Linked DNA regions of Lytechinus pictus. The protein of the gene in region 2 purifies or fractionates together with the protein of the main gene of each other region. This does not show direct contact. Links are inferred from orthologs where the notes say so. Each region holds a gene or a part of one and is shown on either strand. Other genes may lie near its edges.

The links.
Region 1: the proteins of ubiquitin conjugation factor E4 B-like (region 2) and ubiquitin-like protein 7 purify together in Homo sapiens (affinity purification with mass spectrometry; 3 studies listed by BioGRID and IntAct, counting the BioPlex papers as one, with this or other methods). This does not show direct contact. The link is inferred for Lytechinus pictus from reciprocal best matches to the Homo sapiens genes UBE4B and UBL7.

The regions. Positions count from the first base shown.
Region 1 is NC_087249.1:17,028,428-17,036,300, reverse strand, and holds the start of ubiquitin-like protein 7, read right to left. Parts: upstream 3,632-7,873; 5' UTR 3,593-3,631; coding exon 3,454-3,592; exon of another isoform or gene 2,884-3,453; intron 685-2,883; coding exon 565-684; intron 1-564.
Region 2 is NC_087258.1:2,507,409-2,515,818, forward strand, and holds the start of ubiquitin conjugation factor E4 B-like, read left to right. Parts: upstream 1-4,791; 5' UTR 4,792-4,986; coding exon 4,987-5,010; intron 5,011-7,571; coding exon 7,572-7,743; intron 7,744-8,316; coding exon 8,317-8,410. UniProt on the Homo sapiens protein: Ubiquitin-protein ligase that probably functions as an E3 ligase in conjunction with specific E1 and E2 ligases. May also function as an E4 ligase mediating the assembly of polyubiquitin chains on substrates ubiquitinated by another E3 ubiquitin ligase.

The DNA of each region.
Region 1 (7,873 bases), on a different chromosome or scaffold from region 2:
ACAGCAATCTGTTTGTCTAATGAGAAATTTGACCCAGAAGAGGTAATGTTCGCATGTTTGACCTATGGAAGGTGGTCTCATGCAAGTTTAATAATAATGAACTCGCGCTTACATAGCGTATACAAATTAAAACTGCTCTATATAGCTCTCAAATTTTACACTACAACAATTATCCCCACATCAATATCAGAGTAGACATTTATCATAAAGTCAACTCACCTTCCTCCTACCTCTCTTGTGAAACTTTGTGGATAACTGGTAGATTGAACTGACATGCCTTTTTTATGGGGGGATGTGTTGAAAGAAAACATCTGCAATCAACTGCAAATTTTTTGTTGCACTTTTACAATTGACAATTTTGAAGCTGTCACTATCAGTTTACACTGCTTGTGACATCAAACATGATGTCAGCAAGCAATTACAAATTTGCAACTAATGGCAAGACATATAATTGGTATTATAATGGGCACCCCAGATAAATTTGCAGTTGATTGCAAGTTTTTTGCAATGCGCGATAGTTTTTGGGGGGGAGGGTGGAAAGGCTCCATATAAATGTTCACATACCTGGTTTGACTTCTGGCTCGGGAAGTTTCTTCCTCAGAATGTGCACGGTACATCCTGCCTTCACCCCACATCCTGATAAGGTTTCTGCATCTTTCATCAACTTTCCACAGTAAACTAGATCTGCAAGAGCACATGGAAAGTGACAGTGTTTTGTACAAGATATATGGGGCATTCAATGGTCAATAGGGAAAACAAAAGGAAATAAGCGATGAAGAGGGGAGTGTTAAATGTGCATTTGCAGAAGTGGGATGAACTCACAGAAGGAATGCATTTAAGTCCGGCCAAATTTAATGGAAAAGTCATCTACATCAGTCTGGGAATGAGGATCGTCCCCATTTCTCCGCACAAGAAATCTAGGAAAGTTCATTCACCTGTCAAGTGCCGACACCAATCGAGTACGCTAGTCAATACAAAATATTAGGGTTTCATCAAGATTATACGAAGTTGGGAAGTCATAAAATAGAAAGTGAACTGGGGGGAATGGAAGTAACGGAATCTATTATTCGCACTCTCAATTCTAGAAACTGCCATCTATTTCCCACAGGAGGGATTGGGGGAAAAAATTGTTCTCATAAACAAGGACAATCTAAATTTATCAAGATTTGATTTGTATTGGTTTATGAAGATATCCTTGTTTTCTGAGACAATCCTCAATTTCGGACTGGCAGCTCTGTACCTCTACTGAATGTGTTATAAACTTCTAATTTTGATGTTCATATATTTTCTATTGATCATGTCTGATGAGGAAGAAATAAAATATCATGAAAAAAATAATCTCATACCAGACTGTTACGCTCAATCTCATCACAATTGCAGTAGTATTGCAGTGGGTCATATAACATGTATAACCAAATTACAATCATATCAAACACAATAGTTTCTTTAGATTCATTATTCACAAATACCTAAAAACAAAATTTAAATGGCCAACAAAATAATATTTTTGCCAAGATCAAATGTCTTTTTTACAATATCACTCAGCTTCAGATCACACCCTTAGCCCTTCTTCGCACATGCAGACAGTCGACAGTGAAATAAATAAAGTGCTGTGACGTGTTGTGAAATATACTATATGGTAATACATTATATCCATGTATTTGGACCACATGGCTTGCCATAGTCTTAGGGCACATGTACGTATGCCCGTGCCGTACGACCGCGTACGACCATCGCCCTGGTTATATGTTATACTTCTTGATTTTCTATACTTAACGTGTTGGAATTTTCTTTTTCTTTACCGAGTTTACATAGGATATTTAGTCAAGATTTTGGATAGTATTTCTGCTACTCAGTAGACCTATTCGTATTTTTTGTTTGCCGACGAGGGGTTCACTGGATTTTGAGCCGGAGTTCGGTGAGTGATTTATAATTTAGGAATAGTGTTTCCACTTATATATATTTTAGGCTCTACATATCAAATTATTGTTTCTTTGTTGCTTATTTTTTGCTTGAATTTACTGATTTGGCCACCTGATAGGGTTTGGCAAATCTTTCAATTTCTTTTTTCAAAGTACATTTTCCGGCAAGTAGCCTGTTTATTTCCTAAATTACAAAACATATTATGAATACATAATTATACTCTGAATTTATATACTTCTCCGGCCGTATCCCATATATATTTCACGTTATAAGTTAGGATAATGAAAGGAGATTTATGGGGATAAATCTTGTTGGCCGGGAGGTGTGTTGTGAAATATACTATGGTAATACATTATTAGACCAAAAGCTTCGGTCTCTGTTATGTTGGTTGTTCAGCTGAACTCCGTTGGCTTCACTCATCAAATACAGAGACCGAAGTTCTAGCGCGATCTGTACAGGGGACTCAATGGCCATATGTTTATGTGTATTAAGTTTGGATAAAACAGGGCAGTGAAGTTGCGCAACAGCCGAGGTAAGTCACTGTTTTTGTTCCATTTAACTTGATTTTCCCCGTTTTTTGGCAATTAATGCCAAGAGGGAATATTAATTTGCATTTTGGTCGCGTTAATTTTCAAAAGTTTGATTCATTAAAGACAAAAATTGAAGAGCCCTGACGGGGGGATTTTGCATTGTAAGTCCCCTAATGGTGGCTGCACGATAGCGAGCCATCTGTGTACGAGGAGAAATTTAAAAAATAAAAAAATGTTTAAAAACTCCTCGAAACAGACGGCTGCCAGCTGTCTAATACATTATATTTGGACCACATGGCTTGCCATAGTCTTAGGGCACACGTACGTACGCCCGTGCCGTACGACCGCGTACGACCATTGCCCTGGCGCGGGCGAGTTCACACAAGGAGAACTGGATTTGGATTGAAGCGGAAAGGACCTAGCGACTTACCAATCCTCTGGCTCTGGTTCCCAGTTCTCAGCTGGATTTACAGCAAGTCTTATCTCGTAAGTATCAATTAGTACCACTCGGATAATTTCACAACAGACGTGACTGAGTGCAGTGACCAACGTCGACCACGTTACTTTGCACTTGTTGAAGTAAACTTGGAAAAATCCACTCATCCTACGAACGAGGTCGAGGTACTTCTTCTACTTGTTATATATTATAATCAAGACTCAAGAGTAAAAATCATTTGCTCAAACTGAAAGTAACATGCTTTTCCAGCTTTCCTTATCATGCTGATGGTTAATAAATTAGTGGCAGGTAGTGAGGTAGGAGCAATGGCAGGTCCTTTAGTTTTACTAGCATTAACAAGGTCAAGAAGCTAGTACTAGTAGAAGTCAACTTGGCCTGGTCGTAGTGCAGTGTGCACATCCGAAATGCAAATTACACAGCGCCTGCTGCGCTGGCGTGGTGCAGCGCGGTCATCCGCTAGATGCTGCTGGTAAATGCTTCGCTGCCTTGGCTTGGTCTTCGACTTGTCTAACCGTCTGTTCTACTCTACACAACTTTACTTACTTATATCTGTTGACGGAATATCGAAGACATTCGAAACTCTTTCTCTAAATTCTGCTACAGGTGAACCGAGGTCCACTCCATCTAAACGAGGGCGGCCAGGTTTTTCGGAAAATTTGACACAGACAATACAGCTCGCCATTTTTTTTGTCAGACATCAACAAAAGAAATAGGGCGTGGCTTGTAATGATGACGTCAGCATAATCAGGATTGATAAAGCGAGTCCCCCGCCCCGCCCGCGAAATTATTTTTCCCACCGAGTTCTGGACCGACATATGAATATTCATGACTTGCGTCTTCGGATTGAGAGTACGCATGCGCGTGGACTTAGCCTCGACCAGTGCCGATCGTAAGCATTCACGTTGCTCAGAATGAATTAGCATCGTCAAATTACCGGTACCCTTACATAGTTACATAGGCCTTATAGGCTTAGATCTATATATACATCCAATTCTTAAACACTTATCAAACTAGCTGCCATTAATGGCAAGACATGTGCTAGGGTGGGGCTAGCTTAGGCTAGCGCATTAACTTTACCTCAAATCTGGACCTGTCTAATGCCTAATACTAATAGGAATCCCGGATAGGAATAGCCGACTAATGACATGGTTAACTTCGAACTTGTTAATTCCGAACTTTACGTTTGATTAGGTTTGGACCAATATTAGCTTATTTACCATGGTTTAATATGGGGATTACAGTAAAATGTCAGAAATTGTTGAATAAATCCCCAGAAACGACGGTTATTCCTGTCTAGTCCGTATACAGAACCAGTCCTAGATCTAAAAAAAAATATCTTAGTTCTAGTCTAGTCTCTAGATCTAGACTCTGATCTACGCGCTATCAGCATGGAACCACTAGTGTACCAAAGGGGGGGGGGGCAGACTGCCCCCCTGACGAGTCACAACTGATTCAGGGGACGTGCCCCCCCTTGAAAAGCCAAATTAATAATTTGTAATGTCAAAATGCAACGAAAAAATACGTTTTTCCCCTCTTTTGAACGTGAAGATCTTTTTTTTTTCTTGTCAAATTTTTTCAGCTACAAAATCCATAATTTTGGGTGAAGACGGGGATCAAGATCACTGACGTTAATTTGTGCCTGACGTTAGAATACGTTCCATGCACGCACTGGTGTACCTAGGATTTTCCAAAAGGGGGGCAAATTTTTTAGAGGATATTTCGTCCGCGAAAAAATGTGACAAGCCCCCCCCCCCAAAAAAAAGGGTCTTCACCCCAAATTATGGATTTCTTAGCTGAAAAAAAATTGACAAGCAAAAAAAAAAAAAGATCTTCACGTTCAAAAAAGGGGACATACGTCTTTTTCATTGCATTTTTACATTACAAATTATTAATTTGGCTTCTCAAAGGGGGCACGTCCCCTGAATCAGTTCAGTGACTCGTCAGAGGGACAGTCTCTCCCCCCCCCCCTTGGTACACTAGTGGTTCCATGCTGATACAGCGTAGATCAGAGTCTAGATATAGAGACTAGACTAGAACTAAGATAATTTTTTTTTTAGATCTAGGACTGGTTTTGTATACGGACTAGACATATTAAACCATGGCAAATAAGCTAATATTTGTCTAAACCTAATTAAACGTGAAGTTCGGAATTAACCAGTTCGAAGTTAACCATGGCATTAGTCGGCTATTCAGTGTTGTATGTCAAGGCTCAAACATCCAAGGCCAAGGCCAAGGCTTTAATACCCAAGGCCAAGGCTTCAATACCAAAGACCAAGGCCAAGGCATGGAAACCCAAGGCCAAGGCCTGAAAACCTAAAGGCCAAGGCATTTCAAACTTACGATATACAGAACAATGAACTAACAATACTTAGGCGGCAGACATCACACATGGTAAAATGTATGTGAGCGAGGGGATTGAGCGAGAAAAAAAAACCTTTGTACATTTAAAACAAAAATAATTTCATGATAGAGACATATTAAAATAATGATATAGTTACCTGTGTACACATAATCCATAATTTTTCTATAGGCGATTTACATTGCAATAATTATTATTACCACGGTCATCTGATCCTGGCATTCTCAACGTATGTTTTCTCCACTCCCTGGGACAGGGGCAGCAGAAAATTATTATGGGGGGGGGGGGTCAACGCCAAAAAGGCACCCATTTTTCAAAATGAGTTTTTTTGTGCAAACAGATACATGTATTTGAAAAATGAGATTATGAACTGCGTGAAGTAATTGTGTGTTTTATAGAAATTAAGTTGAGCAAAGGCTTTCTAAAGTGATTTTTAATTATAAGATAGATATTTTGCTTTAGGTTTTACTTCTCAGCGAGAAAGCATAGCGAGCAAGCGGTTTTGAAAAAAAAAATAATTCTGAAGTTGTAAAACTTGATTTATGGTCAATTATGGGGCTAATCATTGTTGAAATTTCCTTGCGCGATGTTGCCAGCGCGAATCACGAGCTCAAACTTCTTGACATGTCGTGTAATAAGACATGGAAATTATTTTATTCTGAGCTGGTTTTGTAATCATGAAAAAGATGTGTATCTATATAACTAAAAAATAACTTTGCGCTCGCTAATTCTTTTTATATACTGACCAGTAAAGGAAGCAGTTAATTACTGCATTTTAAATAAGATACATAATTTACCAATAAAAAATAATGCGAGCGCAAAGCGCGAGCTCAGAAATTTGTGATATTCCAACCTGAAAACTGGACATTCTAAGCATTTTTTTGTGAACGGGAAGAGAACGAGTACAATAATTGATGCGAGTGCAGGAAGCGAGCCAAATATTTGTGATATTTCAACCATAAAGCAACATTCTATACATTTTTGTAACCATTAGCAGTACTGTATACTAAACAATAATTGATGCAAGCACGATTCAAAATCTGTGATTTTCAAACCTAAAATGTATTATGTTTTATTATTAAAGAAGGTATTTCTTTTTTAAAAAGGGCATATTTCATTTGGGATTTTTTTTTTTTTTTTTTTGGGGGGGGGGGGCAAGAGAGCACAAAGCGCAAGCTAAAATTTTCAAATGCTTAAACTGAAAATGAGTCATTTTTAGGACTCTTGTCAGTTTTCATATTTTTTTCTGCTTTCAACCACTTTTATTAAACAGTTAATTAATCATTGATTATTAATACTTATTGATAATATCAATAATTATTACTTATTAAATTATTTTTTGTTAATTATTATTTCTTGAAACCATATTGACACAAAAACAAATACGTTGTTTATTTCCTTGAAACTGTAGAGAAATGAGATTCAATGTTGAACGATATATGATTAAAAAGAAGTAAACATTTTTTCCCCTTTGTTTTGTCAATCTGACCCAAAAACAAATATAAAATTTAGAAGAGAGATAGAGAGAAGAAGAAGTCCCACCACCAAGAATAAACTTAGACAAGGGGGGAAGGGAAAGGAAAAGATGGAGTAAATATGATATTATTTTTTAAACAATCTATTGCAAAATTAGCTTTTCTTATAGAAAGAGGGGGACAAATTTTGTTCACTCGCTCGCTTCAATCGCTTTCTTCTTTTTTTTTGACAGAAATTTTGCTCTATATATGCCATGCTTGGCCCCTCAAAGTTTCTGGCTCACCATGCCATTGACATAACCCATTTGGATATGACACAATTGGAGACTGTGTTCAAGTTTACCAAATCTTTTCAGAATATCATTAAGACTTAAAACATTCTTGTTGGCCAAAGAAAATAATACAAGGAAAACCCTAATGGAATAGAAATCAACCTTGTTATCGTTCTTTAGAGTTAGCTATGTTTAAAGTATGAAAATTGTTGTCAAAATTGCAGTCAGATGTAAAAATTATTCTTGTCATCAAAGCACTATTATCTTGATCATGACCATTATTATTTACTGTCATTATCATCATATGATTACACCACATTACCAATACATAATGCTATTTTTCATAACTGATGTATTCTTTGTTTGAATTTCTTGATAATGGTGACAATTACAATTGATGACACTGCTAGTACACTTACTACTGCTGCTGCTACTGTTACTGGTGATTGGTAGTATTGACCATTAGTGTTATTAAATATATATTAAAAAAAACAATTGAAACATTTATAATTACTTATTTAAAACAAATGAAAGTACAAAATTCAAAATGCCTTGAAAATGCCTTTAAAAAAAAAATTCAAGGCTCAAAATCCTCAAGGCCAAGGCCCTCTCGAGGCCAAGGCTTTGAAAAAGTAGCTAGGCATTAAGGCGCCTTAAGGCCAAGGCCGAGCATCAAGGCACTACAACACTGATTAGTGTAGTAGGTTTCACGGTACACCATGTATCTTTCTTGGGCAGATGTTGGTCCTGAAAAGGACCACCCAATCTCGACGTTTCGACAAGTGTGTTCTTGTCGTTTTCTCCTGAGGACGACAAGAACACACTTGTCGAAACGTCGAGATTGGGTGGTCCTTTTC
Region 2 (8,410 bases):
AGGTATAAAACCAAACAATTAATGCGAGCCCGAAGCGCGAGTGAAAAAATTGAGATTTCAGACCTATATAATGGGACACTTTATTCATGTTTTGTAAATCATGAAAAAAGATGGGAAATTTGGTCTTTTCCTACATTAATAATGCGAGTGCAAAGCGCGAGTAGAAATTTTTTTTTATATTCTGATCTGAAACTGGATAATTTTAGCACGTTTTGAATAAAGATCAAGCTGCGTATCTTAATAAAAATGTGCGCGCGTGTTTTAGAGTTAGGCAGAATCTGGGCATTCTGAATACATTTCATTTTTTTATCATGAAAATCAATAATGCAAGCGCGAAGCGCGAGCGGAAAATGTTTGATATTCCGGTATGAAAAGGTGAATTTAAGCACTATCTAAAGCACTGTGTAGGGAAATTGTGAAGTGGATACGGATAGCACGTAATAAATGATGCGAGTGAGAAGCGCGAGCTGATATTATTATTACTATTTTGACCTGAGACCTGGACATTCTTGGCCTAAGGACATTTTGTCATCATATGAAAATGATGACTATCCTCCTATTCCTATTCTGAAAAAGCGACAATTTTGTTATTAGGAATTCATGAAAATTTTATCTATCGTATTTATTAATGTTATAAGCATAATGAGTGAGTGAAATTTGTTGACATTGAGTCCTGAAAACTGGATATTTTAATCATTTTGTAATCATGAATAGGATTTATGAGTTGATATATTTTCAACAATAATGCCAGCGCAATCGCGGACGAAATTTTTGATAAAAGGGGGATTTCAAGTAATTTGTTATAGAATTAATACCGGTATATAAAGAATCTGATGGACTAAACAGAGACAATATGTAGGCCTACTTGGCAAATCAAATAAAGCGAGCGCATAGCGCAAAAAGCTGCAAATAATATTCACACAATAAAACGGACATTTTACAGAGCAATTTGTAAATCAAACAAAATAATAAAAGCTCGATGTTCGAGCTGAAATATATGCATTGTATATTTCAAAACTTGATATTTTAAGCTACATATCAGCCTATTAAACACGATATGTATTTCGTCGAACAGGCTATGCGAGCGCGAAGCGTGGGCAAAAATTTAATATTGTGACATGACATTTATTTTCAAATCATTTTCCAAGTCTTCCATTGACCTTATTTTATTCACTTGTCTCCCTTCTCGTATTATTCATTTTCATTTTTCCTCCTTTTCCCCCTTCTTTTTTCTTTCTTTCCCCCTTTTTTCCCATTTTTTCTCCCCCAAAATACATGTATTATTTCGATTTTTATTGATGTATTTCTTTCCATCATAAAAGACCAAAAATAGTAAGGGGACAATTGATATTGTGTCCCCCCCTACTACTTTGGGTAGGGGGACGCGACCCCCCTGTCCCCCCAGGGATTTCCGCCCATGATTTATCGAGATGCACATAACTGGTGTCATCAATTTTATTTTCCTCCTAAAAATATCTTTTACTTCTTCATGGCCTATTAGGCCTAGATCTAGGAGATATATAGAATTAATAGCAGGAGAGCGGGGAGAAGTGGGACAAAAATAACACTCTGATCGTTTTCCATCTCTAGCTTTTTAATTATTCAGAATGACATTTACAGTTCATAATGGTAAATAGTGAAAATACTACATAGCCAGGTACTAGTATAACTTTAAGATATGATTAAAATACGATTTTGGAACACCTCTTGCGCGGGGTAAAGTGGACCACCCTTTGGGTAAAGTGAGACATAGGGTGGGGTAAAATAGGACAGTGGGAGGAACGTGGGACAGGCAAAAGTGATGTGTAAACAGAATGGTAATTAAAGAGAAATACTAATGTCATCAAGGGTTAAATTTGTAACACCACACAGATGATAATTTTAATCATAAACATCCAACAGTGCATGAAACAATAAACTCTAACTTATAAGCATAGGCCATTATAGTGAAAATACTGAGCTACATAGCCAGGTACTAGGTATCACTCCTAAACTTTAAGATTTTGGTTTAAAAAATGTGATTTTGGAACGCCTCTTGCGCGGGGTAACCCAGAAGGAAAAACCAGTTTAACTGGTAACTCTGGAAATTGGAACATCGGTTTACTGGTCTATAACTGGTCATACTGGTCCAGTTAAGATTTTACTGGTCCAGTTAAAAATTAAACTGGCCTAGAATTACCGGAATTTTATACTGGTGTAGTTTCTGGTGGTTGTTACTGGTCTCACTGGTATCCAATTTAAGCTGGTCTTTGCTGGTATTTTCTACTGGTCTGACTTGTCCTCGAACTGGTCCTCGTACTGGTCTTACTGGATCAATTTTATTATATGCATTTGGTTTGTTATATACCATGGTCAGTGAAATGTGATGGAAAAGATGCTAAGTAAATTAATCTTTCTGCTGTTATCTTAAATGTGATATATGAAATTAAACATTTTCATTGTGAATTAGTTCACAAACTTATTTAGAAAGTTTTTTTTTTAACTACAATGAGTGCCATTGCAAGGATATTCCATTCTAAATCCTGATTTTTCTTTTAAAAACAGGAAATATGCAAATGAGGTAAACCACGTGATCAGCATCATCAGAATTACTGGTATTACTGGTCTTGACCAGTTCAATTTCAAACAATGAATTACTTTAGACCAGTTGACTATATCAGAGGAATATATCTTGCTTTGATCTTAATCATCGTTAAAGGAAATAATTATTTTAATGATAATGTTAATACTTGATAATTATGATAATATTAATAATAATAATTACAATATCAATGACAATGATAACAGTAATAAGAATGATAACAACAATGATCATAATAATCATAATAATAATAATTATGATAATTATAAGAAGAATGATGATAACAATGATAAATGATAACGATAATAACTTTCTCTGAATTGCAAGATTCATTTTCCTTAATTCGTCAAATGATCTGACTTGAAATAAAGTAATTACTTATTGGACCAGTAACACCAGTTTGATGAAAAACAATTTAACTTGTATTACTACTTTGCTTCAACTGGAATGCAATTGTTTGAACTGGTCTCCAGTTGATTTTTACTGGTCCAGTTAAAAATCAACTGGCCCAGTAAAAATATACTGGAAACCAGTAAAAATCTACTGGAAACCAGTAAAAATTCCTACTGGTCTTACTGGTTTTTCCTTCTGGGAAAGTGGACCACCCTTGGGGTAAAGTGGTATGGGGTAAAATAGGACAGTGGGAGTAACGTGGGACAGGCAAAAGTGATGTGTAAACAGAAAGGTAATTAAAGAAAAATACACATAACATCAAGGTAAATGTGTAACACCGCAAATATTTTAATTTCAATCATATACATCCAACACTGCATGAAACAATAAACTCTAACTAGTAAGCATACCTGCAAATTCAATATATCTTGGAATGCTTGTATAGATAATAAATCATTTTGGCCTTACACAGGCAAATTGCTATTGGGATTCTGTGAAGCACTTTTCAATAAAATAATACCAAATAAAAAAAGCAGGTCAACCAGCATGACCAGGCTTTGATGATTAAGAGTTAAAAATGTCAAAGGGCAATTTTATCAAACCGAAGATGATTCGTTTCCTATCATTGAAGAAAAGGGACATTTTGCATCAAAATATCAAAATAAACAAAGATAAGTTAAGATATGGATTCAATTTCCTAATTTTGGACACAATGAACACACTGAGCATGTCATCACGAGATGTTATGCTCATACGAGTCTTCGCTTGTATTTTCGAGGCATGTCTATCTGCAAAAAACAAGCAAAAGTTGGGACGTTATTAAGGACTCGTGTTGTTCTTGAATTGAATCATTGGTCTATTGGCCTGAGCCTTGGATAAACTGAGAGTTTCATTGTATTATACTTTGATACCAATGAGAGATAAAGACATTGAGTAATCAGAACAAAAATACATACATGATTAGCTTTGAAGCAGAATGCAGGTAAGAATAAGATTTTTTTATTCTTTAATATTGGAGCTCCCTTTGTACTCAATCTGCCATTGGGGTGAAGTGGGACAGCGTGGGGGGGGGGGGGGGGCCCGGGGGGGGGGACAACGTGGTGGTGAAGTACGTGGGACAAGTCAAGGAACAGCTGAGATGTTTTGTCTCATTTCTCCCCACGAGCCCCCAAAATTAAAAATGGCGTCTGAAATTTTATAAACGCATCTTATCATTATTTATCATCACATTATTAAGACATGGTATGTCTGAATGAGTTATATTTAGGGTCTATAGGTCTTTGTTGTTAATCTGTAACTTTATTGGCAATAAATGTACAAAATAGGTAAAATTAAACTGGGGGAAAAAGGATAAATTCTAATTAAAATTTCCTGGTGTAGTTCTTAATTGACATGATGGTTGCTTGGTAAGACCTATCGCAGGATAGAAATTGATTGCTGATTAGTTCTCTACTCTTACAGATAGAGGAGGTGTCCCACTTCTCCCGCGCCCCACTTCTCCCCGCTCTCCCCTATAGATTAGATTAATTGGGTCTACCTTTATTTTTAGTTCATGATGTATATATTTGATTATTTCTGTACGTCTTCCCTATAGTTTGTCACCAAAAGTTCCACCAAGTATATTCCTTCCCAGTGGGAAGGAATAGTTCCCAGCCTACATTGTAATTCTTTTTAAGTCAGTAAGCCAAGTGTCTTGTTTCTCTCCCGGTTTCTCCCACCAATTTTTGTATACCCCCCCCCCCCCCCCCCCCCCCCCGACCACACACACTTCTTCCGATTTCCAGATCCGGTATTGTTAATCGGATATACGCCCAGCCATAATACACAGCATGCTGGCGATCGACCTGCGCTGTCTAGCTAACCTCGGCCGGATATTCGAATATACGTTGCAATATGGCGAATTGATCGAAATGAATGAACGAATTTATCATCTGTAATTTGACAAACACAATCCAGCCGCACCTTGTATTTTCATTTTTTGAGGAACAAATCTTCCGACAAACAACGTGGAAATGAGTGAACTTACACCAGATGAGGTAAGGCCTAATAATAATATGGATTGTTTGTTATTTCACGGCGAAAGCTTTGTTTACCTCAGTCTTTGTTCTGCTTTGCCATGTCGACAATTCCCTTGCATTATATGCAGCCCCACTCGTGTAATATTGTGTTATCTAACGTTAATTTTGTCGTGATCCAATTTTTTTGTGCGATGTCATCGCACAAAGAAAATGGGATCACGACAAAATAAACGTGTCCCCATGTCTGACCAGTCATGCCAGTGCAGTGGCCATAATCTTCTATATTGCCTTGGTTTGTATCCATTTGATTGGCTGTCTAGCCAGGATTAGGGAGACTGATAATTAATTGATTCAGTTCTTCGTCTTTGAGTTTGTGTATACTGCCCAACGCCCCAGTTATTTCCCACCCATGGGCTCAGTCATATCATCTCGCGTGCGAAGGAATATCATTCATAATAATGCGACACACACGACACATCCATATACTACTGGGCTTTCGCCCACATAAAACATCACACATAATTAGGGATTTCACATTCTGATATCATTTAGATCCTTCCGAGTTCCGTGACTTCTCCTTGAGGTTTCTTCTAAAAAATATGTATGGTTGGAACTACCCCTTATCGACCACCTAATCTTCTCAGCATCGTATCTGCGAAAATATTCATCAATTTTACCCAGTTTTAGTCCCATTTGTGCAGAAAATTGAGCAGATCAGATTCCCATGTTTCGCTCAGCGACTCCGATTCAATCCGCGTATATATCGACGAACAACGAATACGACGATTTTACATTTGCTCATTTGCACCCGTCTTTTGAAACCGACCACCCGCGATACACTAAGTTTACGGCCGATTCTTGTCGCGGTGGCGAAATATTTTTACTCTTCCAAATCAGTTCTATGATGTCAACATGCTAAATGATCGTCTCACTACTTCCACTGCGAGCTCCGGCACATGATTCGACGATTGACGACGGATATTTGTTCTAAAGCCGTTTCCTATCGGATTTCTTAGTTTTTCAGCGGGAATTGGGTCTGGTCAATACAATTTTGATTAATTCTACTAAATTTTTACTTTTTGTTGCTTCTTTTTTTCTCGTAAAATCGATTCTTACCGTTTCTATGGACACTGCGCCTACTCTCCCGCGCGTATCGTTTGTAATACGCAATAGTTTTAACGCGCGCAAGGTGGTCGGTTTCAAAAGAGGTGGTCGATATGTGGTAGTCTCACCATATATTTTCTTGATCTTTGGTGAAGATTTCACGGAGTTAAAATTTGGTCAGCGCCGATATCAATTTTCGTCTAAAGAGGGCGCGCGATTTATATTCATATCAAAGACACGACAAGGGAAAGACTAGGCACCTAGGCCTACACTATTTTACACGCAAATTGACACAGGTCATTACGCAAAGTCCGTGAAGTGTCCAATCTTTTCATTGTAAAGACTTTGGTATACCGTATTATTGATGTTCGTGTATTATTGATGTACTGCTGGTTTCGTTCCAGGCACGTATATTTTTTCCAATTTTTCTTTATTAGTCATCGTTTTAAATTAATTGCAGAAAAATGTTATCATCGCCAATAATAATCTTGAATTATGTTTTTGAAGGTATTTCATTTATTAGTGCCCATAATTAGTAAATCAATCATAAGAATTGCTTATTCAAAGAATGTAGACACAGTTATAAAATTACCGAGGAGCTGAATCAAGGTTGTGAAATTTATTAGCGCCACCAACCAAGCAACCTCCCATCATTTGTTGTTTTAGAGATAATCATACACACAATGAAAGGTGTGTAAAAATGAGCCGTGTAACGTCAGTTACCGTGAAAATGCCCATTTGCAAATTTGCATGTTAGAACCTAAATCAAAACATCAGGGATATTATCCAACTCATGGTCACACAAACTTCCTAATCAATGCTTAGCTTTAAATGGGAAAAATTTTGTTGTAAAATAGCAGAAGAAATATAAATATTGGTGAAGGTTTGAGGAAATTTAAAAAAGTTATTAGAATTTAATTTTTGACTTCGGACATTATATGCGAGCAGCTTTCCACGGATTGTGAATTAAAGATATCAGTGAAATGTCATTTTCTTGAAATATTGAAAATGGAGTTTATTGAACCTTCTGTATATTAACAGACAAATTATTTCAAACCCGCTCTTGAAAAAAAGAAAATTGGTAGTCATCACAAACTAATAAAAAATTGAAATTTTGGCATTTTATGTCACATCAAATTCCTAAAATTCATATTTTTACCGTAACTTAATCTTTTATGGATTTTCCTCAAACCTTTATACCAATAATTTTGCAGGTTTTTAGATGCTGATCAACATGAAATTGGTTAAACTTGTGTATTATGTTAGTGAAAAAAGCAACACCTTTTTGGGGTTTATGCTGCACATAATTTGTTCTTAGTGTCAGTTGCTATAACAGCCCGGGTAGTATTCTGGCCCCTAATCAATAGAAAATCATTGTAAAAAATATATCTAGTCATTGATTTTTGGCAATCTTAAGTAAGTTTTCCAGATGCATGAAATATCTTCTTTTTTTTTCTCTAAATGTTGATTATCAGATTCGTCGGAGGCGTCTAGCTCACCTAGATAGAAGTCCTGCTGGTCCGGGAGCTAGGGTGACACCAAGTCAGGAATCTAATGTGGACCAGCCAGCGACACCTACTTCTCCAACACAACTTGGAGCAAGCCCGATTAGAGCCCCAAGACCTCCACTGGTTGTCGATGTTCCTGGTGAGTTATCACAGACTGTAAAGCCCTATTCTTTTTCATGAAAGGTTGAATACAGTGAAAGATGGTGTAATGCCATCTTCACACAAATTTGAAACATTTACCAAAGTAACCTCATTTACTCACTGCATTTTTCATGTGATCTCGCTTATAGTTGTTCAGATTAGACCTTATACTTCTCTATTCCTTGAATTCATCGTTCAGTAATTTCTTTAATCAAATCTCACTCACGGACCTTGTTTATCTTGACCATCCTAGGAAAAATTGGGTCGACTTCTTATAATGATAAACGTTGGTAGCGCATGTATTATGAAATGCTCGAATTATCTCTTATGCTTGAATATAATTAACAGTGTTAAAATAATTTACACAGATACCTTTTCATTTCTCTTTCCTCACCATTTAGATCAGGGGGAAAAATCATGGGGGCTCGGGGCAATCGAAATGCTCAGAAGAGCACTGGAAAATCCCATTCACTGCCATGTTAAACTTACATGTAACCAATGTCACAGATTTAGGCAGTTGATTGTGAAAAGTAACCCCCAAAAATAAAAAATCAATTTTTGCCTGATTTAGAATCTTCAGCGAGCTGTAGTGATCTAGGAAGGGGAAGCTCCGTAGAGGGCGCTCAGAGTAATACAAGCAGCCAATCACCAATCTCGGAGGAACC